4 linked regions of the Drosophila melanogaster genome follow. Changing the gene in region 2 together with the main gene of any one other region gives a genetic interaction. Each region holds a gene or a part of one and is shown on either strand. Other genes may lie near its edges.

Region 1 (8,462 bases), on a different chromosome or scaffold from region 2:
TATTATTGGTTGAAAATTTTAGGGAGCGGCATATTATAATATTTAAGTTATCTTATCGTAGGAAGTTTTTTTGATTTTAGAAAAGGTTTCCGTTTTATTAGTGCTTAAGAACTCGAAAACTAGAACAAGCGAATGATTAATAGTACTACTTTTTTTTCTACTAATGAGTTTTACTATACGATTATACTTTTTGGGTTTTCTGTACTTATCTTATCTCAAAATAAGTTAAGTGCCAATAAATCACAGACTTAAATGGCGGTTTCTTTTTTTCTTTCTAAGCGAATAAAACTGATTTAAAATTAAGTAAATGACAATATGCAGCTCTAGCACTTAGCTCTATTATCAATAAGATAATGCATTTGGGAATTGTGTAATCAAATAACAAGCTTTTAGCTTGTTTTTTTTTTTTTAATTAAATATAATAAATCGAATCAATTCCAATCGAATTCCGTGAAATTAAAAGGTTTCAATTCAATTTGCACAGAGTATTCCCTGTTGGCTATCGCTTGTCAGTGCAAAGAAAACGGAATATAATCCATTTTCACACTGCTGGAACTGAAACTGAACTGAACTGAACTGAGCTGAAATTGAAATTGCAAACTTCGAGCTCGATGCTAATTCGCATGGGCGGACAGATAGGCAGTTAGACAGGCGGAAAGTCAGACAGACGAACGGAAAGACGGTCGGGCGGGGGCGGAAACGAGGCAACGTTTGTCACTGTCGGGGCGTTTTATGAAAATTGAACAAATCAATTAAGTCTAATCGTGCCTTGCCTTTTGGGTGGGGCCCCAGTAAGTCGGTGGCTCTGGCATTTGTTTGGCCCCCCCTGACAAATGGACAAATAAATGTCTGCACACGGGGGCCAATGCCAGATTGGCATAGCTTTGCTGTAACTACCGTTCGCTCGCTAAAAGCCAAAAGAACACAAATCAAATAATATATATGCAGCAAAAGCAGTAAAAACAACAACAACAACAGCACGGGCGCACATGCTACGAATTATGAACACTGTAATTATATTCGTATAATATTTTGTCAGCCAATTGACACATTTGCTGTGGGTGCAAAAGAGCAAGCCTGTTTGTGCGCTAGAAAGAGACGGAGACGGTGGGGCAATTACGCTGGAGCTCTCGGCAAATGCGCAAACCAAAGTCGGTTAACGTGGCTCTTGGCTGCAATTGTTGGCCGCCAACTGCGGCAGTTGCGGTTACCGTGGGGCAAGCCAACAGGCAAAGTGAAGTGTGTTCAAAAAAAAAAACCAACAAAAAGAGCCGTAATTGAATCAATTGAGATACAAATATACGAAAATATCAAATTGTTTAATGGAATTCATTATATATATTAGATACAAATAGTAATTTAAACAAAATTAAGAAAGCTTTGCCACAAACTTTATCTTGACTTCACAGCTTAGCTGGCTTATGACACTTTAAAGTTCTTTTGGCCAAATATCAACTGTATCTGACGGTTTGTTGCCAACTTATACCGGCGCACAGTGTGACAAATTGTTATGTATGTAGCAATATGAGTGTGCTGCCATATTCCCGAGTTCGTTTCCATATCTATGTGCATGCAGTTCTACACACAAGCTCGGCTCGCTCGCTGCTGCGCTGCTGGTGCTAATGACCGTAACTAAGTTGGCGTCACGATTGTGTGCGCCACTGGAAGCCAGATTCCCCCCACCCTTCTCATACCACACCCCTCTATAAAGCCCCCTTGTGCGGTTTACTTTGTACCGGCCATTTGTGTAAAATATTTTAGTGTTATGGCCGGGCCAAGAGAGCGCTGCCTAATAGTCGCTTAATTGTATCTGCGTGTGCGTATCTGTAGCTATGTGTGCATATCGGCAAGTGTATCTATGCATTTATGACTAAACAGTTGTTTAAATAAACACTTTTGGCATGTTTACCCGAAATGCGTCTGCAATGTTTACTTAATTAAATCGAGAAATGAGCAAACAAAACGAAACGAGAAACGCAAACAACAACCCTATCTACAACTATATAAACTTAAATTTAAATAAACTTAAGATAAGGCAACGGAGATTTTGCTTCCGGAATTAGAAGCGAATTTAAATTTGCACAGATAAGCAGTATAATCAAGTAGAAATGCTCGTTAAGGAAATGTATTTTGTATGGGTTTTAATTTATGACCAAATGGATAGGTGGGCAGTGAAAGATTAGCATAGTATTAGTTTATAACCAGTAGGTTTTAAGTAATATTTTTTATAAAACTAAATATTTTCACTTAAGAAACATCATATTTTTAAGAAAGGGAAATAAGTGAAATGTAACTTTTCCATTTGGAAAAAGAGCACCATACACCCGATATTCATTTTCATAATTCGAGTAAATGCAAAACACGCCCAGTGACGCCCCCCTCCCTTCCTTACCCAATCAATGCCCCAACCCCACCTGCACCCCCACCCCCGCTCCACTGTTTTGTTTATCGCTCATCGTTCGGCTGCGCGCTGTTTGCCATTCGGTTCGCTTGACGCGTCGCCGCAGGCTTCATTAGGTGAGCGTGATTCCGATTCGCATTTCCATTTCGACAACGATTCCCATGCCCCCCGCTGCACCCTTTCTCATCGCTCTTCTTGATGACCCGCGAATTCCGCTTGTCTTCCCACATTACGCTTGCAAAACGAAATTCCATTCCATTGGTGCCGAACAAAAACCCAAATTAAATCCACTTCAATAAATCTCAAAAAGGTAACAAACAAAATACAAAAAAAAAAAATAAATAATAAAAAAACCAAGCACACCAACCGGCCTGTCAATTTTCTAATCGCTCGAAATAACAAGAAAAAACTCCATTTAATTACAAATCGGCTTAGATTGAAACGCCTTAATTGGCATTAACTCGATGAAAAAAAAAAAATGTGTACACGAATACTTGTGCGGTAATTAATCAAACTGGAAATCAATTTAGGCTCATGCCCTCTCGTTCCCTCTCTTCTTTGCTCTCCTTCTGACTCAATAGGTATCTGTGCTGTGCGAGCAAGAGAGAAAGTGTGGAGTATCTTAGAGATGTGTAAACTTAAACAATAGAGATTTTATTGCAGCTAAATGTTGGCTCTTTGTTTATTAACTCTATTACAATTGTAAATTAAATTAATTAGATAGTCTAAATTCGATAATAATTACTGTAACTTACCTTTTTATAAATCCAAAATAGTCGCAATTTCTGCTCTGAATATGCGCGTTCCCGATTTATAGACAGCATCCAAAAGATGAAGAGAAGGCTCGGGGGTCGGGTGGCAATGAGCAGTGGGTGGCGATGGGCAGGTGATGATTCCTTTGCTTCCTGGCTTGCTCGCACCCACAGTGAGCGACTATCGTGAGGGGGGTTTGGGGAGAGAGTGAGAGAGCACGCGAGAGGGCGTAATAATCCACAAAAGAAACTCCCAAACTCCCAGCTCCCGGAGCTAACGGAAGGTGAAATGCAAATCCGCAAAATTTTCCTAGCAGCGCAATCTCAGGAATTATTTTCCATTTATGTAAGAGCGAGAAAGAGAGAGAGAGTCAAACTTGGCTTTTCTTTCTGCTTTTCACTGCTTCTGCTGGATTCTATTGCTGCTGCTTCTTTTTTCTGCTTGTTTTTCACTTCTTTGACACTTTTTGCATTTGCTTCTCTTTTCTATTTTTCTTTTTTTTGCGACAAATGTATGAACTTTTTTATGAGGTTAGTTGTTGTTTTTTTCTTTATTTCTCTACAAATACACGAAAAAACGGCACTTTGAGTAAGGCGAGGGAGGGAGACGACGAGAGAGGGAGCGCGTGTCCAAGCTCTGTTGCCTTTGCCTTCTCTCCGCCTGTACATATGTATTTGGCAGAACAGAAGCTGCTCCACCGCACACATACACGTGTACATGCATAGCAAGAGAGGCGGTGAACAGAGCTTGGGGCATAGAAAAAAAATACACGGGGGAGTTGTTGCACGACAGAGATACGGCAAGCGAGGGGAGAAGTGGACACGAAGAGAGACTATACGACCGACGGACTGACGCGACGCGACTTCACCTTGCACACGCGCGGAAATTGGCGAGAGCGACAAAGCGACGACGGGTTCGTCGTTTGTCGGCGTTCTTTTACCGCAATGTTTGTGCGAAACATAAAAAAGCTTTGCACATACACAGCGGCTGGCAGTGCGAGCGAGAAAGAAAGAGACAGAGAGGGAGAGCGCAATACACACACACACACACACAAGCACATGCAGTGGCTGTATAGTAATTTTATTCCGGTACTATTCAACTGATGAAGCTTCTGTTGCTGTTGTTGTTATTGGCAGCAACATATTGCCAGTGCCACACTCTCATTTTGGTTCGTCTCCTTTTCCTTTCTTTTTTTACTACTACTTTTTAGTAGTTTTCTTTTCCTTTTTTTTTGGCGATGATGATTACGCTGCTCTTTTAACACACAGAGATACACATACAAACGCACGCACAAGTCAGGCCCAAGTGGGTAATTTGTTTTATGAGTAGCGGCAAATAGCACTTGTGTATGATTGTCGCTCTCCTCCTTCTTCTCGTTGCTGTTGTTACTCTTCTCTTTTCATTTTTTTTTTCTGTTGTGAATGACAGACAGCTACGAGTAATAATTTTTAATGCGTTTTTGGCATTTCTACGTTGCTTTGGGTTAATTGCTTGAAACGCGACGAAACACTAAATCACGCACACACAGATACGCGGTACGACCAGAGAGCGAGAGGCCAACAACACTTATTATTTTGTTGTCGAGTTGAATTACATTAAATGCACATGAGGAAATCACACTGGGGAACAGCTTTGCTTACTTCTTTTCCACAGATTTTAGTCCTTCTTGCTTGTTGTTTTTGGGATGTTGTTTTTCTTAATTAAAGATAGAACCTGATCCGCTCAGTGTTTTTTATGTTTTTGTTTGGCGACAGCGTTTTATCCGTGCTGTCCGAACGAACCGAAGGAGCAACGCGTACAAAAGCGCATAAATTGAGAGGCGAGAGTTGGCTAGCAACGCGCAGGGTTGTCGGCTATATGGGGAAAAATAACAAATACATTTCGGTAATTATATGGTTCCGAAAGAATTCTTGTTTTTAGTCGAATGCTTCTCTGATATAGTTATCGCGATTTCAAACTCTTAAAAGCAATAAAGTTACAATTTACTAATAAAAAGATTATTTACTTGTTAATATTCTCAGCCACTTGACAACCCTGCGGCATTTTCTACACACACATCCACTGCTTACATCGCACACACTGGCATTCCCATGCACATACACAAACGGTCTCTGAGCGGCATTTCTTTAATGGCGGCTTTTTCGCTCTTGCTCGTGCGCTCTTAGTGCCCTCTCCCGCTCTCTTGCTCTGCCGACGCCATATTGCGCAGTTATGTATGTTCATCCCTTTCCAATTTGTTTACAGTGCCGTCGTGTGGTCTCTCACTTGTCCGCTGTTGTTGTTTGTGTTATTGCGTTTGTTGCTCTTGTTATTGCTATGCCTCTGCAAATTGTTTTTGGTGGGGTCCTGAGGATTGATTACTGATTGGCATGTCGTTCGCCTATAGTCAGTTGCCTTTTGTTGTAGTTGTTCTTCCTTTCCGTTTGCTCCTTCTTATTGTCTTTCACCTTCTCACCACACGCACGCTGGCAGGCACACGCACACACCTCACCACCACCTCCACCATCTCCTCGACCAAAGACCATTTCCTCCTTGTTTTTTTTTTTTTCGTTGGTGGGCTGGCGGTTGGGGGAGTAGCATATAATGACATAATGAGATTTATTAGGCGCAAAATAAAGCCATAATGTTCCATTTGACCTTTGTGTAACTTTGACAGTGGTAATTCTCGCCTTCCTGTGCCACCTTATTATTATTATGATGATGGGCAAGAAATATCCTTGCTGTATATACATACATACATATGTATACATTTACATATATAGGGTGCATTGCAGAACATGAGCATTTTCAATTCGTCGTCAGCATTTTGAAAGTTGCCTTTAGCAGTCGCCGATGCAAAAGGCAAATAAGTTCCACTCAGCCCAAGTTTCAGATCAGGAGCGCTTAGGTTAAGCTGGTACAAGCCTATTTGTTTAAATATTTGTATATTTGAGCACTGTATTACATTTGTCTTTTTTTTTTTTTTTTTTTTTTTTTTTTCGATGATGTTTTTATTATTTGATCAACGCACTGTTACCCATGCGGCAACTTAATTTGATCTGCTTAAATTATTTTATTTTACAATGTGTCTTGGTTACTTAAGACTAACAGATTTTTAATCCTAAAAATGATAGGGAGAATTATAATAGTTGATATAACATAGTAATTATTATTTATTTGATTATTCTAATGAATTTTAAAACTAAGACTTTCTAGGTCAAAACCAGGTTAGGGAGGTCATGAGGGTGGTGTCGCTTGAGTCTTCTTTTGACTCTAGTCCGAGGGTCAGCATTGACCACAGCTGCAGTTCCTAGCTTCCTTGCTAGGCTGTTGGGGTGTACATTAAGCCTTTCCATATATTTTTGGGCGATGTTCTGGAGCTTGTCTCCTAATTTGGGCACCTTGAGGTCGCGTTCGATGTCTCTTGTTCTCATATACCAAGGAGCCCCCGAAATTCTTCTTAAGGTCTTCGCCTGTAAGATCCGGATCTTATTAAGGTGACTCTTCGCAGCAATGCCGTATACCTGCAGGCCGTAGAACAGGCAGGGGGCCAATATGGACTTGTAAATATTGACCTTGCAGCCAAGCGACAGTTTGTTGCGTGGTGCAATGAGCCAAGACATCCGAGCAACCTTGGTCCTGAACGCTTGCTGAATATTTGTGATGTGCCTGCTGAAGGTGAGCTTCCTATCGAGGGTAATACCAAGGTATTTATAAGCCTGATGGTGTCTGATCAGTCTCCCATTCAGACTGACACCCGGACAGCTACCTGTTCGGTTGGCGAACGTCACATTGGCACACTTCTCAGCGTTGATGCGCACATTCCAGTTCTCAGCCCATTGCTGGAATGCATCCAGGTATTCCTGTAGACCAGAAGTGGCAGCCAGGATACTTTTACTTTTCGTGAGCACAGCAGTATCGTCAGCGTAGGTGGCTATGAGCACATCTTCTTCGTCTACCTCTGTGACTGGTGTGTGAGTAGGCATGTCCGAAGCAAAAACTGAGTATAGGGTTGGGCCAAGAACGCTTCCTTGAGGAACTCCAGCTGCAATTGGCTTGATTGATGATTTGTACCCATCAACAGAGACGTGGAATGTGCGTTCTTCCAGGAAACTTTTAACAACCAAATATAGCTGCGGCGGGAACAGCCTCTTCGCTTTGTACAGGAGCCCAGGGTGCCAGACTCTGTCAAATGCCTGTTGAATATCAAGAAAGGCACCTACTGCATACTCCTTGTTTTCCATAGCTTCCAGAGCAAAGTTCACTACTCTATGTAGTTGCTCAGGAGTACCGTGCTGCAACCGGAAGCCAAACTGAAATTTGGGAATCGCTTTGGTAACATCCTTGCATGTGAGCAGCCTGTTTAGGATCAGCCTCTCCATAATTTTACCCAGAGATGGGAGTAAGCTGATGGGCCTGTACGAGTCAACGTCTGTCGGTGTTTTTCCAGTCTTATGGATCATAATTATGCTCGCCGATTTCCAAGCTTTCGGAAAGTAGCCAACATCAAGAACGCTGTTGAATATTAAGGCAAGGAACTGCAATGCTTGATCTGGGAGAAGTCTAATGGTTCTATTATCAAGAAGATCTTCTCCAGGAGCTTTCTTAAGTGGCAGCTTGGCTATTAAATTCTTCACTTCTTCCAGTGTGACAGCACTCGGAGGCAGGCTCATTTGAAAGGGCGATTCCAAGTATTCTTCAACCTGACGACAGAGACTTTCCGGTGCATAGTTATAGGGTGTAAAACGTTGCTCAAGGTTGTTAGCGAACACTTCAGTTTTTTCCAAGCTAGTGCGACACCAGCCACCAGACGGATTTTTGATTGCTGATTTTGGGGTGGGCTGAGCTTTGAACCGTTTCGTGATACGCCACAGTGAGTAATTTGTGCTCGCGTCAGCACCCAAGTTATCCAAGAAGGTATCTATTTGGGCCTGCTTTCTTCGAGCAAGGGCCTTATGCAGGCAGTTGGCCAGTCTACTGTGGATCTGTTGCATGCGGGGATCACCTGTTCTAGCATATTCTTTTCGAACTCTTCGTTTTAGCCTGAGCAGTGCCAATATACTGGGAGGAAGTTGAAGTGGTCTGGAGGCCTCTACTTCATGCCGATTTCTCGGTGCAGCAAGCTGAGCAGCCTCACTTAGTTTGCTCATGAAAAGGCTTGTGGCATTATCAATGTCCACCGCCTCCAGAATTTGCATATTTACCTCACTCAGCTGTTCAAGATGGGTTTTGAATATGTTTATGTCAGCATTATGGGCAAGTAGTCGTACGCGTTGTGGTTTCTTTAACGGCGTAGCGTGCAATACAGCCAGAATAGGAAGATGGTCCG
Region 2 (7,574 bases):
TGTAATCTCTTGTTTTATATTTAGATTACAGATTTAATTATTTTCAAATTTAAATACAAATTCTGACAGATTTGCCCCTGAAATGTTATCGACAAACGAATGTGGTTATCGCCGACTCGCGCAATCGCATAGAGTTTTTTTTCAGTGCCGAAAACAACATCAAAATGTTCATAACAATGTTGGGATTTTAGAGACAGCCACAAAATTTAGAAGCACATGTGCCCTGCTAGATCGAACCGAACCTGAGAACTGATCGCCGAAAGAAGCTGCAGATTGTTGCATAAACCGCGCGCGCAGCTACCGCTCCGAACTCGAAAAGGTGCTCCACGGGTCTCCGAGCTTTCCGAACTTTGGATGCGCCGCGATGAGCTTGTTGGTGCAAGTGTTCAAGTGGGACCAGCGATGTCCCATGCTCCACAGGGTGGACATCCTGCTGCGGCGTGGCGTCAAGAAGCAGGCGGTGTATCCGACCAAGTGAGTGGGGTCCTGAATCCTCCTGAAAATTGCATAACACGTCATTTGTACAGACTGGCTGAGGTGGGTCGCCTGGTGGATGCCCGCGACGACCGGTACGAGACGGGCCAACTATTCCTGCACCGCATCTTCGGCTACCGCGGCGTTATACTCTTCCCCTGGACAGCCCGCGTCTACGACCGGGATCTGCACAATCCTGGCAAGATTAGCGCCACCACGACTACGAGCGCCAATCCGACGCAGCAGAACCGCACCAAAGAGGCTTCGCTCCGCGTGAAGGCCAACACCTCCGCTTCCCCAACGGCTGCTACCGCTCAGAGCGCCGATGCCCCCACCTCGACCGCCTTTGAGACGAACGCGGCTGAAAGTACAGGCACCACAAACCTGGGTACCACCTCCCAAGTGGATCCCAAAGAGGTCAAGGGCAAGGTGCAAACCTTTTATCAGGTGCTCATAGACACCCGCGATTGCCCGTACATTGTAAGATGGGTCTAGTTTTGCTTCCTTCGTTTTCTAAGTTGGCATTTCGTGTCTTTCAGCGCGCCCAGACCGAGGCGGTCACCTTTCTCGGCAACCAGGACTCCAACCGCAGCCTCTACGCCATCCCCGGGCTGGACTACGTGGCCCACGAGGACATCATGCCTTACAGCTCCAGCGAGAAGAGTCCGCTGCAGCACGAGCTGTTCGATAAGTTCCTTACGCACGCTCCGGACGCGGACCCGCCATTTGTGGGCCAGGACACTCTGAAGGCGTGGCAGGAGAAGAACCATCCCTGGCTGGACATGAGCGATGTACACAAGGAGACCACGGAGAACGTGCGCATTACCGTGATTCCCTTCTACATGGGTTGCCGGGAGACGCCTGCTAGTTCGGTCTACTGGGTGCGTTAATAAGAAACTCCTTTCTTTAGTTTAACGTCATAAAGTACCTTTCCAGTGGCGCTACTGCATCCGACTGGAGAACCTCGGCGAGCTGAGCGTGCAGCTGCGCGAGCGCCACTGGCGCATTTTCTCACTGTCTGGAACCCTGGAGACGGTGCGCGGAAGAGGAGTGGTGGGCCAGGAGCCCATTCTGAGCCCCCGGCTGCCCGCCTTTCAGTACAGCAGCCATGTGAGCCTGCAGGCTCCCAGCGGCCATATGTGGGGCACCTTCCGGCTGGAGCGCGAAGACGGATACTCCTTCGATTGCAAGATTCCGCCCTTCTCACTGGAGAGCAAGCCGGACGACCTAGGGACGCCCACACCGGCCACGCCCAGTGCCCACGATAAAAAGCGCGACGATAGCGATTAAGAGGCAGTTGTTCACCCGTAGTTAAATGATTTTAAAACGCAATCTTTTCTGACAATGCATGCGTACATGTGTTTAGTGCAAATTACAATAATCAACAAGGACGCAGAGCCAGTTTTGATTCTCAGCCAAGTCGCACGGTCTTTGGTTCTAGCTGAATGGCAAAGTCAAAGGGTCTCCGGTTGTCGCGGGTGTCAAAGATGCTCTGCAGAGCGTCGAGTGCCGCAGTCTCTGTGGCTGTTTTCACATCTTCACCGAATCCCTTGCCCAGTAGCTGCCGGTTGGCGTAGATGCCTACTTGGTAGGCGGCTAGCACAGTGTTCTTTCCGCAGTCTCCAAGCAGGCGGGGCTCCGCTTCGCCCAGCTTTCGCTCCTGGCATATCTTCTCCAGCAGCTGGATTGGTTCCTGGGGAGTCCACACCTCCAACAGGTCCTTTTGATTCAGTTGCGTGCAGATGAAATCGCGTACAAAAATGAAAGCCCTCTCGATTCCACTGGAACTGGCCAGGGCGCCAATAACTGCGTGTAAAGATTTGGCCTGACTTTCGGCCGAGGGCGGGTATTCCGTAGACTGTATCAGATCCTTTGTGCCCAGGTGGGTCGAGACGTGAGCAAGCGTTTCGGTGCTAAGTAGATAACTGGCGATCGCCTGGAGTCCTTCATTAGGGACCTTCGGTAACTGGTGCTGCAGGAAGGCCTCAACGTAGGCACGGGCAATTTGTTGGCCCTTCTCGACCAGATCGCTATTGTGAGGCATCTGGAGGTCAGACTCCTCAATGCCTAGCTGCCGACGACGATCCTCCTCCCGCTCTGCAAACGATTTCTCTGTAAAAGCACGCTGCAGCTCCGACAATTCAAAGGATTCGCCCAAACGCTTGCCGAACGCGAAGAGCTCCGATCGCTGGTTCCACTCCACGAACCCAGAACGCCGCTCTGGCTTTTGTGGTCCTAGTTTCTTCTGCCGGTGGGCGAGCTCACGTAACGTTGGCGAAACCCATCGCTTGATGTGGCGCCTCGTTTGCACTGCCGAAAATCACGATTACTGACTGGCATTAGGTGAATCCGGGTTACTCACCAGTCGGTGAGCCCTCCAAGAGCTTGACACGAGCCAGGAGACCAACAGCACTGCGTAAGAATGACATCTTTAAAGCGATCTTAAAAATAAGTAACGAATATGTTTTCGCGCATGGGAACTAGTGTTGCACGGGTTTTTGTGGCAGTGATGGCAGTCTAACCGTAAATATAATTTTATAACTTATAACTTAACTTATACATTTTAATAATATTTGTTTCTTGTTGTTTCTATATTTATTCAGAGATGTATAATTAAAAAAAAATAATAATAACTAAATATGTTTCTTTATGAATTATAATTTTATCATTTAATCGAGTAATTATAACGAAAAATACTTTCAGCTTTTTATTTAGCGTTTTGTAGCTAAAAGGCGCCAGTACTAAATTGCGTTGGTGGCACCCGCTCGTTTTCCAACACTCCCGCAATAGACGCCATGTACATGTCTGTGTTTGTGTATGCGCCAAGAAAATTTAAGTCGCGGAATATTAACAAGGAATCCCTGCCAGAAACAGGGCATTGAGAGACCACAGAAGAAAATATACCCAACATGGCACTGCAGACATACGGGGACAAGCCGGTGGCCTTCCAGCTGGAGGAGGGCGGCGAGTACTACTACGTGGGCTCGGAAGTGGGCAACTACATGCGCCACTTCCGCGGCATTCTGTACAAGAAGTACCCGGGAATGACCCGCATCGTCCTGTCCAACGAGGAGCGCAAGCGGCTGGCTGAGTCCGGCCTCAGCTCCCACATCTTAGCCAGCTCTGTATCGCTGCTCCGCGCCGTAGAGGTGGATGATATCATGGCCGGCAACGATGAAAAGTAAGTGGGCGTCTTACCTAAGTAATGTCCCCAGAATAGTAACTAAATAGGGCCTTTCCTAAAAATTCCAATTAACTTCGTTGATATCTACTTCCTACTAGTCCTACTTAAACGTTTGTTTTTAAATGTTTAATCCAATGGTATCAAGTAATCCTTTTATCAAATATAAGACATGTGTACATTTGGCTGAAGATTCTTCATTTTAGTAACATTGTTAATGACCACTTAGTTAAAAACCACTTATCATTCTGAAGTGAAGACGTATACAAACACACATAGCCACACACTGCCCAGTTATTTTGAAAAAATATGGAAAAATGTCATAGACATTTTTGGCAAAGCTGCCACAATAGTCTGTATGATTGACAACGATTTCCAATTGAGCACGGAGAATTGTATTATTGTCAGAATGTTGGGTAAATTTTGCCTGCTTGCAGGGCCAATCAGTCAATTTGCTAACAGTTGATTTAACTAACCATGAATCTCCGTCCCAGGTATCGCGCCGTCTCCGTGAACACTTCCGATACGCCAGTGCCGCGGGAGAGCAAGTCAAAGAAGCAGCCACAGTATGTGCCCACGATGCCGAACTCCAGCCACCTGGACGCAGTGCCACAGGCCACGCCAATCAACCGAAACCGAGTGCACACGAAGAAGGTTCGCACATTCCCGATGTGTTTCGACGACACGGATCCCACGGCTAGCCTGGAGAATGCGGCGCAGAAGGAGTGCCTGGTGCCCATTCGACTGGACATGGAGCTAGAGGGTCAAAAGCTGCGCGACACCTTCACGTGGAACAAGAACGAGAGCATGATTACTCCGGAGCAGTTTGCCGAGGTGCTGTGCGACGACCTGGACCTCAATCCCCTGCCCTTTGTGCCGGCTATTGCACAGGCCATCCGACAGCAGATCGAAGCCTTTCCCAACGATCCCCCCATCCTCGAGGAGACCTGCGACCAGCGGGTCATTGTTAAGCTGAACATTCACGTGGGCAACACCTCGCTCGTCGACCAGGTCGAGTGGGACATGTCCGAGAAGAACAACAACCCCGAGGAGTTTGCCATTAAACTCTGTGCGGAATTGGGATTGGGAGGAGAGTTTGTTACGGCCATTGCCTACAGCATTAGGGGTCAGCTATCGTGGCACTGTCGAACGTACGCCTTCAGCGAGGCCCCTCTATCAACGATTGATGTGCCCTTCCGGAATCCCAGCGACGCTGACGCATGGGCGCCATTCCTAGAGACGCTTACCGACGCCGAAATGGAGAAGAAAATCCGCGACCAGGACCGCAACACGCGCAGAATGCGACGACTGGCCAATACCACAACTGGTTGGTGATCTTCCGCCGATCCAGCAATGTGTCACTAATGTAATCCTCCTATTAAGTACCATTATGCATCCCAAATAAATGTGTGTCTGTCGATTTTAAAACCTATTGTCTTCTACGCGCTACTTCCAAAAAAAATAGTTCCAAACGATGTTACAAAATAAGCTGATACTCTTTACTGCTTACGCTAAACTCGAATCCTTATTCTACATTATCCAATACTAACTTTCTGCCGAATCGGGCTTGTCTTGGTCCTGATCGCCGTCGTAGAACTCGTTCTTAGCATCAACCAGCTTGTCCTCATCGGCTACGGATATTCGCACGTCGGGATCACTCGCCTCCTCCCGGTTGCTGCGCAGCTCCTCCAAGTCCACATCAGGCGGGGTCTGCACCATTTGGACGCTGGGCGAGTGCTGGCACATCTTAAGGTTTTCATACACATGCTTAACGATGAGTTCAAGATACTGCTTTGAGTTAGCATTATCTTGGCGTGAGTTAATCTCTGGATGGAGTGTAAAGTCGGGGGCGAAAAAGTCGTAATACTCGGTGGCGGGTAGGTCATTTTCAATGTCTTGGTCCACCAGCAGCGAGGTCTCGTGCGTCCAGCAGCGGGCCACGTTCCGTAAGGTGTAGCCACCGCCTCCGACCACCAATGTGGGTACGTTCAGTTCCTTCACAAATTTGACACACTCACCATGTCCCTTGGTGCTCAGGGAGAAGCAACCTAGTCGATCTCCAGCTAGTGAATCCGCGCCACACTGCAAAACGATAGCCGTGGGCCGGTAGAAGTCCATAATGGCAGAAATTATGGGTTTGAACACCTGAAAATAGCTCTGGTCATCAATGCCCTCCTTTAGCGGCACATTAACGCTGTAGTATCGTCCCGATTCGGCGCCTATCTCGTACATGTCTCCCGTGCCGGGAAAAAAGTAGTTTCCGTATTTGTGGAACGAAGCCGTCATCACTCGGTCCGTAAGGTAGAACGCCTCCTGCACCCCGTCGCCGTGGTGCACATCGATGTCGATGTAGAGCACCCGAGGATGGTACTTAAGCAGCTCCAGAATGCCGATGACGATGTCATTCACGTAGCAGAATCCGCTTGCCTCGAACTTCTTGGCGTGATGCAGTCCGCCCGACCAGTTTATGCATATGTCGCTGTGGTTGTGGTTCAGCTTCTGGGCTCCCTCCAGCGAGGCACCCGTGTACATTGCACAGAAGTCGAAGAGGCCATCGAACACGGGACAGTCCTCGCCTACGCTGAAGTGCGCCAGGTACTTCGTATAGGCCACGGCTTAAGAACAGAAAATTATCAGATTATTCTAAATGTTATTCCAATTGGGCGACTTCCTCTTCAACTCACAATTGCACTGAATGTTTTGTGGAGTCACCTGCTGTAAGTAGGCGATGTACTCGTCGCTGTGGAAGCGGAGCATGTCCTGCGCACTGGCCCTGCAAAGAATTCCGGATTAGTATAATTTACGCGGCACAGACACACCTCTCCGCCAACTCACTTGTACGGCCTGTAGATCTTCATTTTCTTGTGCAGTCCGTAGTTCATTACCAGGCTGTGAGTGACCGCCAGGCGTTGCGGCTTCATGGGATGCCCGGCTCCATAGTGGAAGTTGCCCACGTCCGCGTTGTAGAAGTACGACACCCTACGGTCCGTCATCGCGCCAACTTCTCAATTGGATCGGTTATTGCAGGGACGCCGTAGTCCCCTAGTTGTGGACCAAATCCTCGCCGGGCAGCAGGTACGTCTTCGCATACAGGACAATCAGCAGAACGGCCACGATGAAAAGGAGTCGCCGGGTTGTGTCGTATTCGCCCAACAGCATGCCGCTCCCGTGGTCACCTTTGGGTACCTTTGTTTAATCGTGAGATATCAATTTGCTAACTTATTGCCAATTGAAGACAACTTAAAGCGGCGTGCGCCGATAGTGTACTAAAAATGGACATAGCTAGTGATGTACAAACGCACAGTCACGTCACGAGAGCATCCCTATGGTGATGCTATAATTTTTGTTCTGCTCAATTCACAAGTCTCTCTGTGCATGTGGTTTTATTTTATTTTTGGTCGATGTAAGGAAGGCTAGATGTTGTAAAATATACGTGTGTCTTTTAGTTTTCATTTAGGTTTATTTTTAAGCCTAATGTATTAAATGAAATAAATACACGAACGTACGCTTGCCAAAAAAAAAACCCGCCAGATATGACCGAAAGCCGCCGGGCCGGCAGCACTGTCCAGTTAGTTTATCTTCTATTTTGATTTTCTAATTCGACTCTGCTCGCGCTAATTTTCGTGATAGAGAATATTGGAATATTGGAATACGCGTATTGGAGTATTGGAATTGGAGAATGCAGTAATCAACAATAAAAGTCAGTGGACAAGGGAATGCAGAAAGTGTGTCAACTGGCTAAAAACGGCGAATCAGGAAGCGCTCCTTTGGGCAACCGATAAATCCGCCAGCCGAGCAAAATCGGAGCCAATTACGAAACCGCCATTGATTTTGGTTCCCATCAATATGTAAGTTGTGCCCCGGCTTCTGAATTAGTCCCCAAAAAACTTTGAGTCCGCGGAGGAAGCAGTACCCACCA
Region 3 (8,446 bases), on a different chromosome or scaffold from region 2:
TCTTTTCTAAAACCCCATTTAACATTAAGCACGTTGCACATCTTTTATTATTTTAAATACCCGATTTCCAGATATGATCAGCCCGGAAAAATAGTGAACTAAATATGCAGAGCAGTAAAAGTCAGGCTAACATAGAAGTTATTTTTCAAAATTTGAATAACGCGCCAATAAAAATCCCGCAACGCGATCGGCCGTAGTGGCAACGCCGCTGCCACTAAACTCCGACTCTCTCTTTGCGCCGTGTGGCCAGATGATTATGGCCTTTTTTTTTGCTCTTTCATCGCTCTCTCGATTTCGATCTCGTCACAGTGCCACTTGCGATCATTGTGTTACTTTGGAGTCGCTGAAAAATCGCGGGGATCGCATCGAATTGGCCTTGACTGCCGTGGGGTTGAGCTAGCCGTGAAAAAGACCGCAGAACCACGATAAATCTGTCGAAAAAGGTGACAAAAAGGAGGCTATACTGTCTTGCTGGCTGGCGTGCGTGTGTATGTGTGCGGCGGTGTGTGCAATTTTTTTCATCACCATTCCAGTCCGCGTGTGTTTTTCAGTGTGCAATCCCGCTGAGAATTTGCCCGAATCCTGCCCAACAGCAGGTGAGTGATGCCGGCCAATTGGCCCATTCGATTTGCAGCAGGTGCAGGGTTCAAAAGTTCGTGAACTTGCTTTTTAAGCCATTTCCTTTAGACCCCGTTTTCTCCATCGATATTGTAGCAGTCGAAAAGTAATGGAAAAAAAACGTGAGCAGCGACGTCGACGTTTTTGCCTCTTTCTCTCTCTGTTCCCCTGCCCCTCTCGCGCTCTCTTCCGCGCCTTCTCTTTGCGCGCGCAGCTGTCATCGCTGTCAGCAGCGCGCGCCGACGTCGGGTTCCCGCGCGCGGGAAATCATCAAGTTCAATCGATTCTAATTTGGCCGAATTGAACGGGATTTTCGATTTTAGTGAAAAATCAGATTCTGCGAGTTTTGATCTTTCAATTGGTTATAGGCACGCATGGTTTTTCATTTAGCTTACCTGATTTATAAGCGCTCGAAGTTGGTGCCAAAAATGCTCGAATGTTAATCGATGAAAACAACAAAGTGGCAGTGGTTTGTTTGGTTTCAAAGCAGCGTTACCACCTAGTTCGACCTCAGTCATCTTGTCATATGTTATTTGGCTGCAGTTCATAAAAACTACTAGAAAAGCATATTAAACCATGTAATTTCAGGCTTCTGAAGAATAAATAAATAATTAAAATTTTAAAGATTTATGAATACCCTTCAAGATAAATTTATTTTAACCTTGAATTGATTTTGGAGCGCTTTAAAAATATATTAAAAAAAATAGTTTCATATTAAAATTTAAATATTTATTTTCTGAAGGTCATATTTGAATTAAAATTGGCATATGACATAGAAATAAATCTTAGGTATTTATATATAACCACGATATATCCGACTAAATCCGCCCTTCTGGCATCCTCGTCAGCTGTTTTTCGACCACCCAGCTGACTGGACGTCGAACCTCCAATTGTAGTCTGACTAGCCTGTTGGGGACTGGGGACTCCAATTGCAGACTCCATTCAATAAAATGCCAAGCTTGCCACCAGCGGCTTCATCGCCCCGTCTCGCTTTCTCACGCTCTGTTCTTTGCGCTGGAGATGCTCGCCCCATCTCCGTCCCTCCCCTAGAGTACAACAAAGTTGCCCCCTGTGTTTGTTGCATTTTTTGGCGCTTCGGATCCGCCTGTTTTGGCGCGTTCCTCATGCACACTCGCCGCAGTCGACGTCGCTGCTTTTGATACCCAGTTCCACCAATTTTTTTTTCGGTTCCAAAGCGATCACTTTGCTGCCGCCGCTCCGCTGCTCGTGAAGTTTTTTCGTGGCCGGCGACGACGACGACGAAAAACTCTCGAAAAACGTTGTTCAATTCCCTTTAAGAAAAACAAGTGAAAACACCGGGGATATTATGTTAAGCATTTTTCCGCTTACTAGAAGGTAAAACCAATTGCACAATGGTTTTAGTGGATAAAAGGCAATACGTTATTCAGAGTGGAATAAAATTTATGACGCGTGTGCGGTGACAAGTGTGTGTGGAACAGTGAAGGAAAGAGCGGGAGAGAATGCTGCGTTTGCCGTCGTGTCTTTGCATTTTTTGCTACAAATACAACATCCTCTTATAAGAAAATTGACACGCTGTAGGATTTAACCGTTGCTTTCTGATTGGCAAGAGACGGGGTGTCCAACTACAAATTGTCTCCCCCACACAGTGTTTTAGTGTTCCCCCTATAAGGAAAAGTGTCCTATTAGAATTAAACCGTTATCCAATGGGAACAAATTGGAAAATCCTATGAAATAAATGAAAGCTTCTAATCACGTCTAAAAGTGCACTGAGTTTCTAATGCGTAACGGGAGTTCAGTGAACTATTACAGCTTTTCTTACTATAGAAGGCTTGAGATGCAGCTTATGGTTTACCCTGCTGTTTGGGCCAACTTTCTAATCTTTCTCCCGCCCGAATTGCACTTTTTCCCGCCATTCGCATAGATTTTGGGCGGTAAAACAAAACTGCCCCAGCCCAAACGCCTAATTCGCGCCACTTTGCGTTTCTCCATTCTTTTCCCATGCTCATTTCATTTTTATACGCTTCCTCCAATGACACACACACAAGCACAAACTTGGAAGAAATGCGCTCGCTAAGAGAGAGAGTAAGCTCTCTTTCTCTCGCTCTCTTCCGTTTTATTCCAATCAGAACAGCGAGTCAAGTTATTTTCCCCTTCCCAACACCAACAACAAACAAAAACGTTTTAGTACTGCGCTCTAAAACGGAAAAAAAGAGAGCATTTGACTGCGACGTCGAAAAAATTCGGAAAATCGCCGATCAGTCGACGGACCTTTCGAAAACTTGACGAACACGAAGCAGAGGTTCAAAGCAAAATGGAGTAAACGAGTGAAGAACAAAATAATGAATTATGTCAAAAGTGGCGCAAATATCTTTGGTACACGAAGAAAAAGATTGGTAGTGGCATTTAGCCCTTACCCACAATCTACGTACATACATATGTATGTATGTTTACATATGTAGAATTAATAATAGTATTTTAATTATTGTAAAATCGTGGTTATATTTATTTTTGTGAGTAGTTACTCTATGTACGTGCTCCCAACCAATGAGTGAGCGAGATAGACTGCCAAGTGGAGAATGGAGTTCATTGATATTTCTCGGCGTTTTGCTTTCGCTTCCCCTTCGTCTCCACCTTGCTTCGCGCCATCTTCGTTCTTTCCTCTTCTCCTCTGCTTCCATTTACCTGCCACATTCATTTTGTTGTTGTTTTCTTCGCAATTTTTGCTTTCTTCTTTATTTTTTGCATTCTTTTGACGTTTTTTAGTTTGCGTGTTCGCTTTTTGCGCCGTTAAACTTTTGGAGCGATCGCGGCGGGGGTGTGCGTGGGGGGTGGGTGGTGTATTGTTGATGGGGTGGATTTTTGTATACTTAATTTTTCGATTATGTCATGATCGTGCCGAAAATCAGCCGCTTATGTTTAGATTTGGCCAGTTTAAACCATGGGGAAATAAATTGTTTTTCTTAGAAGTGATTTTGAAAAAAGTAAGAGCATCAAGTTTTTGATGATTCAGTGTCGTGAATTTTGTATATTTTCCCAACATTTTCTTTTGTTTGACCCACCTAAACACTCCTTATATGATCTATTCAAATCCTAGTCAACACCTTTCAATTCTGCTCATGATCCTCCAAGTGCTTGCCACCTTCGAAAGCGGTATGTCATCAAAGGATTTTCTAGACGAGATGGGAACCCAAACTGATCTCGAATATTTTCTCATCATATGTACATACATACGTAAATGGTTATAGGAATCCACACATATCAACTGGCCATATTAACCCGAATTCCTAGTAAAATACCAACAATATTTCTCAATTACAAGTGCGGAATGTTTTACAAATATTACATGTTCTCCAAAAGGATGAGTTGTGAATAGTAACTCCTTAAATAAATGGTTCATATGTACATATGTATGTATATGTGGGCATTTTTTTTTTATAGTCCATACACATTTTTGTCGCTGCGGCAGAAGAATCCGATTCGGAATCGGAATGAGGTGAAGCCGTATGTATGAGGAGCAGAAACAACAATGATAAACAGTTTCCAGTTATTCCCAGACAAACAAAGGATAGTCCGTCCGACTGGCGATTTGTGGAGCGGGGAAGAGACAGGACGCAGGCCACTTGAGCTAGCTGACTCGCTGTGGGCATCCTTTTAGACGCTGCTAAATATAAACTAAATAGTCAATTGAGCGCGTCCCGATGTCCTAACGGCTACTTCAAGGCCATCGATTCTTGGAACTGGAACGCCGCCGTCGCCATCGCCGCCGCTGCCGCTCCATTCAAGAACTTTGATTTGTTCTCCTCCATCGGCTGGGCCGACTTTACTTTCACACGCCGTTTTGCCCAGGCGGCGCTCTTTAGATACCCGGCACACAGATACTCAGATACTCGGACTCACAGATACACTGATGCGCGCAGGCGAGGATCGACTTTCCTGTTCTCGTTTGCAGTACCCTGTAGTTCTGGGTAGGGTGGGCATATGCGACTGAAGCAACACAGCAAACTTGGGCCAATTGACCATTAGAATTTAAACGCATTCATGAGTATGAAAAGGAAGCATCAAAGATCGGGTTCAATTCAATGATGCTTATAAAGCAATCTTCGTGTATTGGTTTAAACTTTTAGTAGTATTATTTATAGTTTCATATTATGCAAATATGATTAGGCTTTCGATTTGAGAAAATATCTTCCTAATGAACTTCACCCTCTTACCCTATCAGCATTATGTAGCTATGTTGTTACACAACTCCTGCAGACTTTCGGTCCACCGAGTTCCAACTAATTGCAAGAGTGGTGGCCAAACCACAACAATGGAGAGGAGGCGGCATTGGCATGGACAACGCCACAAATGCCCAGATGCATGTGCATTTTTATCTCGAGTATCTCAGGAATGTATCTCGCCGCATGTGCAGAGGAGCCCAAAATGCAGCCCAAAAAGGACGCACAAAAATTGCAGGCCCAGACAGTTGAAGACGCCGGATAACTCGAGACCTGTTTTCCCTCTACATATGTACATATGTATATAGTCTGGCATATACTCGAGATACATACATATTTGTATATAATTTTTTTTGCGCTCTTCTTTGCGCATTTTGCGCATTCTTCTTTGCATTGCCTCAAGTTGCATTTCATATTGTATCTCGAGACTTGGTCCCATTTCCTTGTGGGAAATCTTCCGCACAAAGCAAATATTCCGAAGATGAGGGAAAAAAATACGGTCGACTTTATTTTCGACACTCGGTTTTCCAGTTAAATGACCTTGAAGGACCCCGTCCAGGTAAACAGATTCACTCATGCATCGTACACCTTTAATTAGGCGCTGTGCGCAAAGGAAACCCCCGAGTTTATCCGCTCGATCCGCGGCATTATTCATATTTGTATACCTGTCGCCGCGGATTTCGCCCGAACTCGCAGCCTTCTTCACTTAATCTTCATTAGAGGAAGTTGCAGCCGCAGCCTGCGTGTGGGCAGTTCCTGCAATTAGGTAGGAATCTATCTTAGTCACTGGTATTTGGACAAGAATTGGATTGCTCTAGCGATAATACAGTCATTTGTTTGCCAAGAGCCGCTGTCAACTGTTTTGTAAAACTAAAGGATATTATCGCATCCTTATTAACGAATATTAATTTTAGGACGTTTTGTGATTTACAAAAAAGATTACATTAATCCGACTATAAATGATGTTAGATGTGTAACATGATTACAACTGAGAGATAAATGTCTATTCTATTGCGTTTTTAGGTTTCTGCTGTATCTTAAAGATACAAATTGTTTCATAATGTTTTTTGAGCTCGAATATTTACAAAACCCAGATCTTTATATTGGGATTACGATTTAAATGATGATCTTATTAATTGTTTTAAGATTTTTAACATATTCTTAAATGACCAAAGAGACTTATTTTTCTGTGTAAGGAAATTTCTTTGTTGTAAGTAGAATAGTTAGGGGGTTGAAAACTAAGAAAGCAAAAATGCTCTAAAAGGACTTCGGGGAAGCAGAGGGAACCCAATTAATTAGAAGGCATATCCGCAATTAGTGTGAAAATGATGGTTGGAAACAGCAAAATATTGTGCATGAGAAAAGGCCGGAAAACGCAAAAGAAAAGCGAGGCAAAAAGTGAGGAAAATAGACAATCCGTTGCGTAAGAACAAGAAAGTAGGGGAAAGAAAGTCGTTGGCTAAAAAGCATTCGCATATGGGGTAGGAAAAAAAGGTGTCGAACTGAATGGTAGGCCGAAGGGAGGTCCATAAATCGTGGCGAATATAACGCCAGGCCCATATGTCACACGGAAAAAGGAAAATAAATGAAGGAAGAAAGGAAGCGAGGAGGGGAGGGAGGGGTAGGGCTAGGGGAAAAGGAAACGCGACAGGATACAATTAGCGAGGGGGAAGTCAATTGAAGTTACAAAAGCAACAGCAGAGACATTGCCAGAATCCTTTTAGTTGGGGTAGGATCTTCAACAGCTGCCACTCCACTCCCCTTCTCCAATCCCATCGACTCTACTCACCTGCCCCGCATCGCATCGAACCCATACTTACAGTTCTAACAGAAGGTCAGCGATCAACTCTAGCCACAACAGGTGCAACAGGGGCACTAAGGACTCGGCTCCTCGATATAATTAAGCGTTGTAAACCACTAGAAAATGCGGACGTTGCGCATGCGCCGAATGCGATGCACCTGACATCGGTACACTCAAAAAATTAAATTATCTCATAAGTCAAGCATTACGGAGTTAAAAAAGTATTTATCAACAATACATCGTACTTGCAACAACAGAACTCTATTGATTTCTATAATTTAATAGCACTTTCAGTTGTTTGAATTGTATAGTTATGTTTTTCAAGTGTAAAGGAAATTCAAGGGGAGCAGCTGAAGCTGAAACTGCAGCAGAAGGCATCAATCGAGACTCGTGGAAATTCTATTATGATAAAAAGATGACCATTCCGTGACTACCTGTTAAGATGACCCAACTCCAAAATGGTCTTCCCACCCATCTTTCTATTTAAGTAATTTGAATATCTTAGACACACTTTGCACCCCAAAGAAAAATATTTACTTTCTTTCTTCGTTTTGCTAAAAGCAAAAAGTTGGTGTATATATATGTTTTTCGAGAAAAACTCACGTAAACAAATTTGTTTGGGGTTTTCGATGCAAGGAGACTTTTCGGCCACATGCTGTGTGTGAGTTTCCCTCAAGGATCATATGTTGTTTTTTCCACAAGGATCTACAGATAATGTTTTACTAACTGTTGATAGGTTTTGTGAAGTCGTAAAAACTCGAAAACGCGTCGCATGTGATGACCATATCCTAGAAACTCTTATCCAATTAGTTTATATGCCATTTTTAGTTTTTAATGATTGCTTTACAATATTATTTAAATGTTGTTTATTATATTTTATTAAGTTTATATTTTGTTTAATTTACTTGCAGTCCTCTTTAAATTGTACATTTCATGCAAAACATTTCTGCTTTTGACGAGCAGCTTAAAAACAAGATTCAGGATAAAGAACCTTGACGGCTTCTCAAGGCCGTACAATTATGGGTTTAAATGCCAAGAGGTAAGCTTATGAGTACTTTATTCATTTTAAATTCTACTGGCTTACTTTTAAATAATTTAATTTAATTTTCGATGTTTTAAGAGGTAAATTATTCTTGCAAACCCCAAGTTCGATTTGAGTTTGTAAAAATCTTAGTTTCAAGCGAACCTGCATGTTTTTCTTGACATCTCTTATGATCTTAGACATTTCCTTTTCCCATCAAACACTTTTCGTGACTTCCACTTCCTCCGCAGCCCTGACCAAACTAATTAGCACCCCACATGAAAGCCAAGAGGCGACTGACTCCCCAACGGACTGAGCTACCATTTGTTTCTAACGCTCGGCGACTTCCTGTGGCGACATCCGATCGACTTCCTTTTTAACCACTAACAACACTATCCTGGTAGGCAGCGCGTCTCCCTTTAATTCTCTTAACCAAAAGTGATGTTTATCTAATAGCTATTTCGTAATTATAAAGCGACAGAGCCCAACTGGTTATGCCCGAATACGCCGCGGGAAAGTTGGACCCGCAGGAGCTATAACCACTCGGGATCCTACTGTTCCAACCTTCTGACTCAAGTGCGATAATCTAAAATGCATTTTCACTGTCAATTTTCAAAACAAAAAAAAAAAAGCCATCTGTTTGTAGGTGTTAAAGTCGAGGCAGCGTTGATAACCAAGTGCCGCATTCCTCAACACTCTTGCATACCTTTACAGGACCTTTCCGAGGTCCTGCGTGTGATTAGTATATAATTGCGCGCGAAAATGTCATTAGAAAAGTGTTTAGTTGTGGGACGGTTCAGGTCAGTT
Region 4 (8,615 bases), on a different chromosome or scaffold from region 2:
GGCTCACTGCGCCGGACTGGAGTGGAGCGGCCAAGTTGGCGGCGCTGCTCTGCCAGGCGGATGGTCTGCGATTCAATGAGTCGTCGCTGAAGGCCGACTGCCCGATGCGAATGAGGCGGGAGTTGGCGCAACAGCAGCAGCAGCAACAGCAGCAGGCGCAGCAGCATAGGTTGGAGCAGCAGCGCAAGGAGAAGGAGCATGTGCTGAGCTTCAAGAAGCGCCGCCTGTCCAAGCAGAAGTCCATGGAGCACATCGAGGTCTGTACGCTGCCAGCGGCAAGCACCACCAGCTGCAGTCTCCAGCCCTCGCCATCCGCATCCGCCTCAGCATCTGCATCCGCCTCAGCATCTGCATCCGCCTCCACATCCGCCTGCTCGCAAACCCACTCGAACAGCAGCTCGAGCAGCCCCAGCAACAGCAGCAGCCAGACGGGCCTGGACGAGCGACTGGCCAGCAATCCGCTCCGCGTCTACGAGGAGTACTTCATGCAGCCGAGCTGCGAGGGTGAGCCACCGGCGGACTATCTGCGCCAAATAGCCGTGGAGCACGGCAAGCTGGCCAAGCTGCAGATGAGCCTCAAGACGGCCAAGTACTGGCTGCTCAAGTCCATCCAGGATCTCGAAGGCTACGGCGAGGAGCTCTTTAGCGGCGTGACCACCAACGAGAGTGCCACGCGCTGCGACATTGCGGTGGGCGCCCATGGCATCACCGTCTGCCGGGGGGGCGAGAAACAGAGGTGAGTTGCAGGACACCAAGGATACGATCAAACTTTCTATAACCGGAAGTAGAAAACTCACAAGGCACTTTTACCACAACTATGAGCTTAAAGAAAGATAGAATCATAGAGTTTTCTAATAGCTAATCGCACTTCTAACTTACCTAATTCATATTTTTACTAAAACCAAATTGAGTAATTTCGTATTCATAAACAAAAGTCAAGGTGAGAGGCCTTAAAAAAGTTGCTCAAAACGAAAACAACATTCTTATAAGTAGATGGATGATACATTAACCTGAATAATTCAATGGCATTTTTATAGTCGCTTCTTGGCAATATCTTTCGAAATGATTTTGGCTTCAAGTTAATGTAGCGCAAAATTAGCGTCAAAGGTAACATTTTTAATAGAACTCACTTTATGCGCTATAAACCTTAATGATTAATAACCAAATGCGCAGTTACCATTTGATTTGAAAGTGCCTTGTAAATGCATAGAGCTTATAAATCCAATCGACTTCCTTTTTTCTTCTTTTCAATTAAGTTTTTCAAAACTAATGGATTTGTGTCTCTTTTCGTTTAGCATCCCCTTTGGCGCCATCGCTGCGGCCAAGTCGCTGCGTCGCACTTTCAAGTTGGAGTACGTGGATGACCACAACGATCGCAAGGAGCTGGAGATCAAGCTGCCCAAGCAGCCGATCGCCGCGGGCCTGTACCGCTCCATCACGGAGCGCCACGCCTTCTACGTGTGCGACAAGGTGCGCGGAGTGGTGACCAATCAGTTTACCCGGGATCTCAAGGGCACCATCGCCTCCATGTTCATGGAGAATACGGAGCTGGGCAAGCGCTATGTCTTCGACATTCAGCACACGTGTCGCGAGGTGCACGACCAGGCGAGGAGGACTCTCCACGAGCGGGGCGGCGATCTGGTGGCGGAGGGAGCCGAGGGATGCTCTGCTGTCGCTGGAGGATTGGGCGCCTCTGCCGTCGGCGAGCCGGGCGTCAGCCCATGGGCCATGGCCCTGACGACTGGTGCCGGCGGCTCCATGGCCGGCAAGATAGATTTGGCCATACGCGAGAAGGAGGCGCGTGAGGCGGCGATTGAGCGTTGCGTGGACACGCGCATCTCGGAGGCCATGCAGTGCAAGATCTGCATGGACCGCGCCATCAACACAGTGTTCAATCCGTGCTGTCACGTCATCGCCTGCGCCCAGTGCGCTGCACGGTGAGTTGTCTCTGCAGCCTTGTGCTCCCATTGAATCCTTACTAACTTCCTTAATCCTGTCTTGCAGATGCAGCAACTGTCCCAACTGTCGGGTGAAGATCACCAGCGTGGTCAAAATCTATCTGCCGCCGGAGCTGCGCACCAGCCAAACCGGCAGCGGCGCCACAACCACCAGCAGCAGCAGCATCATGGGCGACGGCCAGGTGGAGGAGCAGCTGCTCCAACAGCAGCTGGACGAGATCTCGGCGGCACCCGCATCCCTCGAGGCGGGCGCAGATGCAGGAGTGGGAGTTGGCGGCATGGCAGTGGGAGCAGGAGCAGGAGCAGGAGCAACCGGACCTGGCGGACAGCCGAAGGTTACGACGGCCGCCTAGAATTGGTTGTGCTCGCTGCTGTTCCGGCTGATGGAATGGGTGTGCGTGCCGATTGTCTGAGAACCAACATGATTCACTAGTGCTCTATGACCACAACCTAAAAGGGGAACAAACCGACGAGGCAAGCAAGCAACTGGCAGCGTGCAACATGCCACGTGCAACGTGCAACATGTCACGTGCAACGTGGGTTTGAAATCGATTCGAAGCGGCGTAGTCAGTCTTTCAAACAATCTTAGCTCTATCTTTACTCAAGTATTCTAGCGACATAAGCAACTGAAACTTTAACTCTAACTCTAGCTGTAACTCTAATCTACAGAGTAGCCATATACACGATATATATATATACCTAATATATATATATATATACATATATTTACTATTTATAGATGTACGAACTTCGAGAAAGTGCTATTTAAACTCGTCTAAGACTTCACTGCATAGCCTATGCCTAGAATCTATAACTGCAGATTGTTTCATATTCATATACACACTGTATACTGTATACACATAGATATATTTACGATCGTTATAGATCAGCGATACCTTATACGATGTAGCCCTTGAATGTACAACATAGTTACTTACTAAATGTTAGCAATTTTACCAACTAAAACTCGAGATGTATTTATTAACGCCTAAACTCTTTAGTATTCCACCCTACCCAAAGGAACCTATATAAGAAGCCCCCCAAATTCTCATATATCTAACCATGGATACCTATTAAAAAACTATATGTTATAGCGTGTGTATATATAGGACAAGCGTACAATAATCGCAAACCCAAGGAGCAAAGTAGTACTAAGTACCTGCAAATCAAACAGAAAAACATAAACCGAAACTGAAACAGAACACGAAACACGAAAAGTATCTCTGCAGCGGATATTACATAGTCAATAGTAAATGTTAACAATGTTATACTATATATACATAGATCTATATATATATATAAATATATATATATATATATATACATATAAAAGAAACCAATGAAAAAACCTTAAATGTACCTTGTTATCTGTTGTTTATTATTTGGAAAGCAAATCTTCGTTTCTTGCCGTCTTTAGTTGAAAGCTTTCTGTGGCATATTTCTTTGTTCTTCCTTAACGAATTCTTCTATCATTTATCAGTTTTAATACTTCATTTCTTTTCTCCTTTGGCCTCGTTGCAAAACTGAATTCGAAATAAATGCTCTTGACCAAAAAATCTCATCAAGTTCCTCTCATTTGAAATCATCAAAACCTCATCGTCTTCTCCTTTCATTTTCTTATTTATGAGCGCGTTGGAATTCTTCTCACAGCTGGAAAATATATCAAAAAAGAACATACTACGCCTATGTAATGAGTCCAATGAATCTGCCAAAGGTCTCGATAAGAAACCGCATCATCTGCAAATTATCCATTTCTGGACTCAGCTTGAAGTACTGAGTAATCTTCGGTTTTCTCTTTCCCGGGATATCCCTGTCCACATTTGTAATGAGATGTTTTAAGTAATGCGGAATACTCTGAAGACCAAAGGGAATATTTTCGTTTTGCAGCAGGAACTCTTCGGTTTTCATAGTAACAGAATTATTTGGCACTGCCATTTTCACACTTATTTCGTTGGGAATAGCTGTTCCGAGTGTGATTCCTAAGCCGGCAGGGAAAATTCATTAGTAGAATTTATTTTATACATATGTTAATTGCTTACCCAAGAAAAAGTGCAGAATAAAAATCACTATTGAGTTCATTTTCAGACCTAATTATTTCTGTTACAATGTTCTGATTTTGGGTTGAGTTGTGACGCAAAGTATACTATTTGAAAACTTTACTTCGACGCTTAATTCGAACAATAGATTATTATAGATTCAAAGTTTATTTAAATTGAAATCTTTAAATCCCGTTATGTTACATTTTTGAATTGCGCGCCCAAATCTTCCACGAACGCGTTAGCACATAACTCAATTTGAGCCGCTTGTGAGCAACAGCTGATCCACTGCTCTTCTTCTTACACTCCAGACAATCGCAGCACGAAATCCAGCGATGTGGCAACACCGCCGGCCAGGTGGCAATTCTGCTGCGCAGTGTGCACACACTGGCAGCCACTGCTGGTTGGCTCTTCTTCTTGCAACTGCTGCAATTATATATCGCTGTTCCGTCGTCTCCGCCGATCCAACTCCGCGCAAAAAACCGCACATATATCGCTCAACGGTCCGCGAATAATCCGTAAATATTGCAATTGCACGGTGGGCACAAAAAACACGACAAAATAAAAGGCCCAACACAAAACAAACGGAAACTCACACGGACACACGCACACACACGCAGGCGAGCAGCTGACGCCGGCAGAGGCAGTGCAGCAGCAGCGACAGCGGCAGAGCAGCGACGGCAGCAACAAGCAACAAAAGCAAAAGGCAAACAATTGGATAAGCGCTATTAAGGTGTTAAAAAGGCAGCCAACTTAACAGTCCAAGAGTTCAGCTTGAAAAGCTAACGGTTCCAAGGTCGCAGCGCGAAAAAATCGAAAAAAAACACTCGCTTTTTAGCCGTCTTGTTGTTGTTTTGGCTGCTGCAACAGTTGCAGCCTATGCGTATGTGTGTGTGTGTGTGTTGTGTGGAATTGTGCGATCGCCATCGTCCGTTTCTCTCGCACTTGCTGCTAATAGTCGCCGGTGAAATGGTGTCGCCTTTCGCAGCCGACGTCGACGTCGCTGCCGACGACGGCGCAGAGACCACCACTGTGGCAATGAAACGCAATTTGTTGTTCTTGTTTCTGTAAAAATGTTTACAATGCGATCAAAATGCACTGGCAGAAATTAAGAGTGATAAGCATCAAATTTAGCCCATTAAAATTTGAAATTGTTAAAAGCGATGTGATAAAGTTTATAAACACAACTATAAGTTTGAAACACATAAGAATAAAATAAAATCTAACTTGCGCGAAATTCATTTTCTTATTTTAAACCTGTAATAGTGACCGAAAATTTTGAAATTCTTTCTAGATTGTTCAGCCACAACTGAAACATAAAATCGAAACCCTATTTTTACCAGCTTAACATGGGTAAAGTGAAACTTATAAGAAAACCATGAAGAATACCGTGAATGCTCAATTCAAAATTTGAAAATCCACTAGTGCTCTTAATAGCTTCAAAAGCAAGTGAAGAAATTTAGAATAAAGAGTGTGATAACCGAAAGAAACACCGAGAAACGCCGAGGAAAGTCTAGACAAGTGCCTGAAACCAAATGTGTTTGCCCCGAAGTTAAGTCCCTTCGATCCGCCCAAATCGGCTTTAATTCCCGTAAATCCCCTCTTCCGCCCAATAATTCCGCCACAAAAACAGGCACATGAGTTGGATTAATCGGAGTCAACTGGAATAGGCCGAAGCACCCGGAGCACAGGTCAGTATCGGAACAATCAGGCCATATCGACTGACATCAATCAGTTAAAACATTCAAATACCGTTTGCTCAATTGGACGGTTCGCCTTGAATCGGTTGAAACCGGTTGCCGATTACCGGTTCGCTTTAAAATTCAATTAATTTAAATCAATTCAGACCAGACAGTTTGGTTTCGTGTGGTTTCCATCACAAATATCCGCCGCGACCTAACTATTTCTAAAAAAATGCAATAAAAGATTGCACAATTCCTAGCAATCGAGGAATTTCAAGTGCTGTACAGCAAATCTGAATGATACTGATATTGACGCTTTTTAAGTGAAGGCATGACGAAAGTAAGACGTTTTTTACGGCATTTACAAAATGCTACTCAAAATATTAGGTTTTGATACGGAAAATCTCAATAGAATCTACCTTACATCATATGTAGATAAAATTTAAAAGTCTTTAATAATTTATGAGATTTTAAATACAAATGCTGAAGTTTGCCATCGAACGTAATTGCAGAATCCTAAGATATTATCATTGACAACTTATTGGGCTGCAAAGATAATATATAAAATATATATTCAATTATTATATTTGTCCAACTGATGGAATTAAATAATCATTAAAATGGTAATTTAATGAGGCGCTTTTGCAGAAAACAAAAGCAAACCGCATGGCGAATAAAACAAAAATCGAAATAAAAGCGATGATTTATGCAATATTCAAATATGCATTTCGCACAGGCACTCACACACACACACACACACACACATACATACAGATAGCATTTGGCTTGAACTTTAAAGAGCGACTACGGTTATTAATTTAACCTTTTTATTTGGCTTCACTTGGTTTAATTTGTGTCCAGCAGGTCCCAAAAACCTGAATGCGCTGATGGCCAGCTCCGCAAATCCCTGAGCCCCTCTTAGCTGTCCGGTTTTTTTTATTTTTTTATTTTTTGGGCGCCCTTAATGGAAAAAATGTTGAGCGGTCTTTTTGCGATTCTCCTCTCGGCTTAATCCCATTTTTGAATACCCTAGCAATAGGGCTTATAACTTCGTTAAAATGGTGAAATACTCTAAATAAAAACATAAAACATATATGAACTTATTTGATTTCAAACTCCAAATGTTGCATGCTTTTAAGCATTTTAAAACCATTCGGTTTTTTGATCTCCATAAGATGTTCCTTATTCCTTGTATATTTCGATTCATCGCACATCCATAGATGATTGATACTGTGCGTATCCGATAGGGTATTCTTAATTCCGATTCGTACATATACCATTTTATACTCGTTCCCCATTGTTTTTGCGTCTGTTTACGTTGAACTGGGGGCCACTGAAATGGAATCGAGGAGAAGGGTGCCCAAAAGGAAAACGACGTCCTGCCATAAAATTGCATGTCCAAGTTGTTTTATTTGATTATGCGATCGTGTGTGTGTGTGTGTGTGTGTGTGTGTGTGTGTGTGGATTTTTGTTGCTGTGCTCGTTTTTTTTTTTTTTTTTGCTGCAAGAGTTTATTGCGCGGAATGCTATTTAATAAATTCCATTTTCTCTGTCATTTTGCCGTGTTTTTGTTTTTGCATCTCGGGCAGGATTTATGTTCTTGCTTTTGTTAGCGCTGTTTCCGCTTTCCATCTTGTTTGTTTGCCCGATGCAAATTTAAAAAATTCAATTTCCCTGGTAACTCCAATTGCGTCAAAGGCCAGCCAAAAGTTGCGGAAATGTGAATTATGTGCATCCGTTGCAATATGCACAGCGTGCTTCTTGGCTCGCTGCGATTTCATATTTCACTGCTGGATTTATTACTAATTTTGTTCCCCATTTTTGGCCCCTTTAATGCAGTTTACTTCCCGCGGCGCTCGCTTTTCCTTGGCTGAAAAACTGGCACAGAAATACTAGGATAGATAAAAAAAAGCGACGAACAATAAAGACGGCAAAACTTAAGCACCTTAACTCACTTTTGCCAGCTCTCAACTCTACAGCAGAAACTCGCAGAAAAGAACTCGACATATAATCGAGAGGAGAGCGAACGAAAAGAATTTCAAACTACGCTAAAAACTTTTCCGAACAACGCAACTTTTTCTTGCCCCAACCAACACCACCACCACCCACCCTCCTTCGAAAACTTTTCCAATGTTCCTGCACTCGTTTTGTTATTGTTATTGTATGCAACTTCCGCCACAGCTATAACTATAACTATGGAATAGAAAAGGCGAAAAAAAATACAAAAAAATACTGGCAAGAACATCGATGATAAGCGGGAGTTCAATGGTTAAAGCTGGGCATTTTCCGCATTTGGGGGAAAACTTTAAAAACTGGTTCGCTGCGTTTTCTATTTCACTTGTTCTCGGGCTGCTGCCACGCCCTCAAAAAAAAAAAAAAAAACAAAAGCAAGGACATGGGGGCCATAAAAATGTTCCTTCAGGCAGCTGGGGGGAAAAACAAAAAACTTTTAAAAACAACTGCACGGGGAGGAAAAACAGGCGCAGGTGGGCGGCAACAAAAGCAACAATGTTCAAGTGCAGGCACTGGGAAAACTCGGGAAAACACACTTGAGGTCAGTTCAATAGGACAGGCTTCCCAATAATTATAATAATAATATTTATTCTCATAACATCTATAAGAAAACGTATAATGTGCTTAGATAATATAATATATAATGTTCAACTTATTCAGCTAAAGTTAACATAGTAAGCCAAATACTACAATTGTTTTAGCCACAACTGTGTGCCCAACACACTGGAAAACAAACAAAAACTCGGCTAACAACTCTTAAAAGCTGGCACCAGGAAAAATGAGGGTAAAATACAAAATATGAGCGCTCCAAACTGCATTTTCCCACAAAAACAATTGCATGGCCCTGCTGCATTTGCAACCGAGTAAAAAAAAAATCAATATAATGCGCATAAATAAATTAAAAATAATTGCAATACGAGTAGAAA

The links.
Region 1: of Snr1 (region 2) and sbb, changing one enhances a phenotype caused by changing the other (phenotypic enhancement), as found in Drosophila melanogaster (one study listed by BioGRID).
Region 3: of Snr1 (region 2) and CycE, changing one suppresses a phenotype caused by changing the other (phenotypic suppression), as found in Drosophila melanogaster (3 studies listed by BioGRID).
Region 4: of Snr1 (region 2) and px, changing one enhances a phenotype caused by changing the other (phenotypic enhancement), as found in Drosophila melanogaster (one study listed by BioGRID).

Annotation. Positions count from the first base shown.
Region 1 is NT_033778.4:18,352,344-18,360,805, forward strand, and holds the start of sbb (scribbler), read right to left. Parts: upstream 4,954-8,462; 5' UTR 4,795-4,953; exon of another isoform or gene 3,713-4,794; 5' UTR 3,157-3,712; intron 1-3,156.
Region 2 is NT_033777.3:5,467,676-5,475,249, forward strand, and holds Snr1 (Snf5-related 1), read left to right. Parts: upstream 1-3,250; 5' UTR 3,251-3,383; coding exon 3,384-3,655; intron 3,656-4,149; coding exon 4,150-4,990; 3' UTR 4,991-5,079; downstream 5,080-7,574. Other genes in the region: POLDIP2 (polymerase (DNA-directed), delta interacting protein 2), read left to right, coding at 355-954, 1,014-1,355, 1,411-1,764; mRpL44 (mitochondrial ribosomal protein L44), read right to left, coding at 1,886-2,784, 2,837-2,903; HDAC3 (histone deacetylase 3), read right to left, coding at 5,201-6,270, 6,340-6,428, 6,491-6,648; CG45100 (uncharacterized protein), read right to left, coding at 6,698-6,814.
Region 3 is NT_033779.5:15,739,983-15,748,428, reverse strand, and holds the start of CycE (cyclin E), read left to right. Parts: upstream 1-1,818; 5' UTR 1,819-1,945; coding exon 1,946-1,974; exon of another isoform or gene 1,975-2,172; intron 2,173-2,785; exon of another isoform or gene 2,786-3,037; intron 3,038-7,529; exon of another isoform or gene 7,530-7,637; coding exon of another isoform or gene 7,638-7,657; intron 7,658-8,446. UniProt on the Drosophila melanogaster protein: Essential for the control of the cell cycle at the G1/S (start) transition. Targeted by archipelago for degradation by the SFC ubiquitin ligase complex.
Region 4 is NT_033778.4:22,557,816-22,566,430, reverse strand, and holds the start of px (plexus), read left to right. Parts: upstream 1-4,365; 5' UTR 4,366-4,512; exon of another isoform or gene 4,513-4,532; intron 4,533-5,288; 5' UTR 5,289-5,685; intron 5,686-8,615. Other genes in the region: dnr1 (defense repressor 1), read left to right, coding at 1-736, 1,296-1,937, 2,005-2,311; CG11362 (uncharacterized protein), read right to left, coding at 3,642-3,937, 3,998-4,037.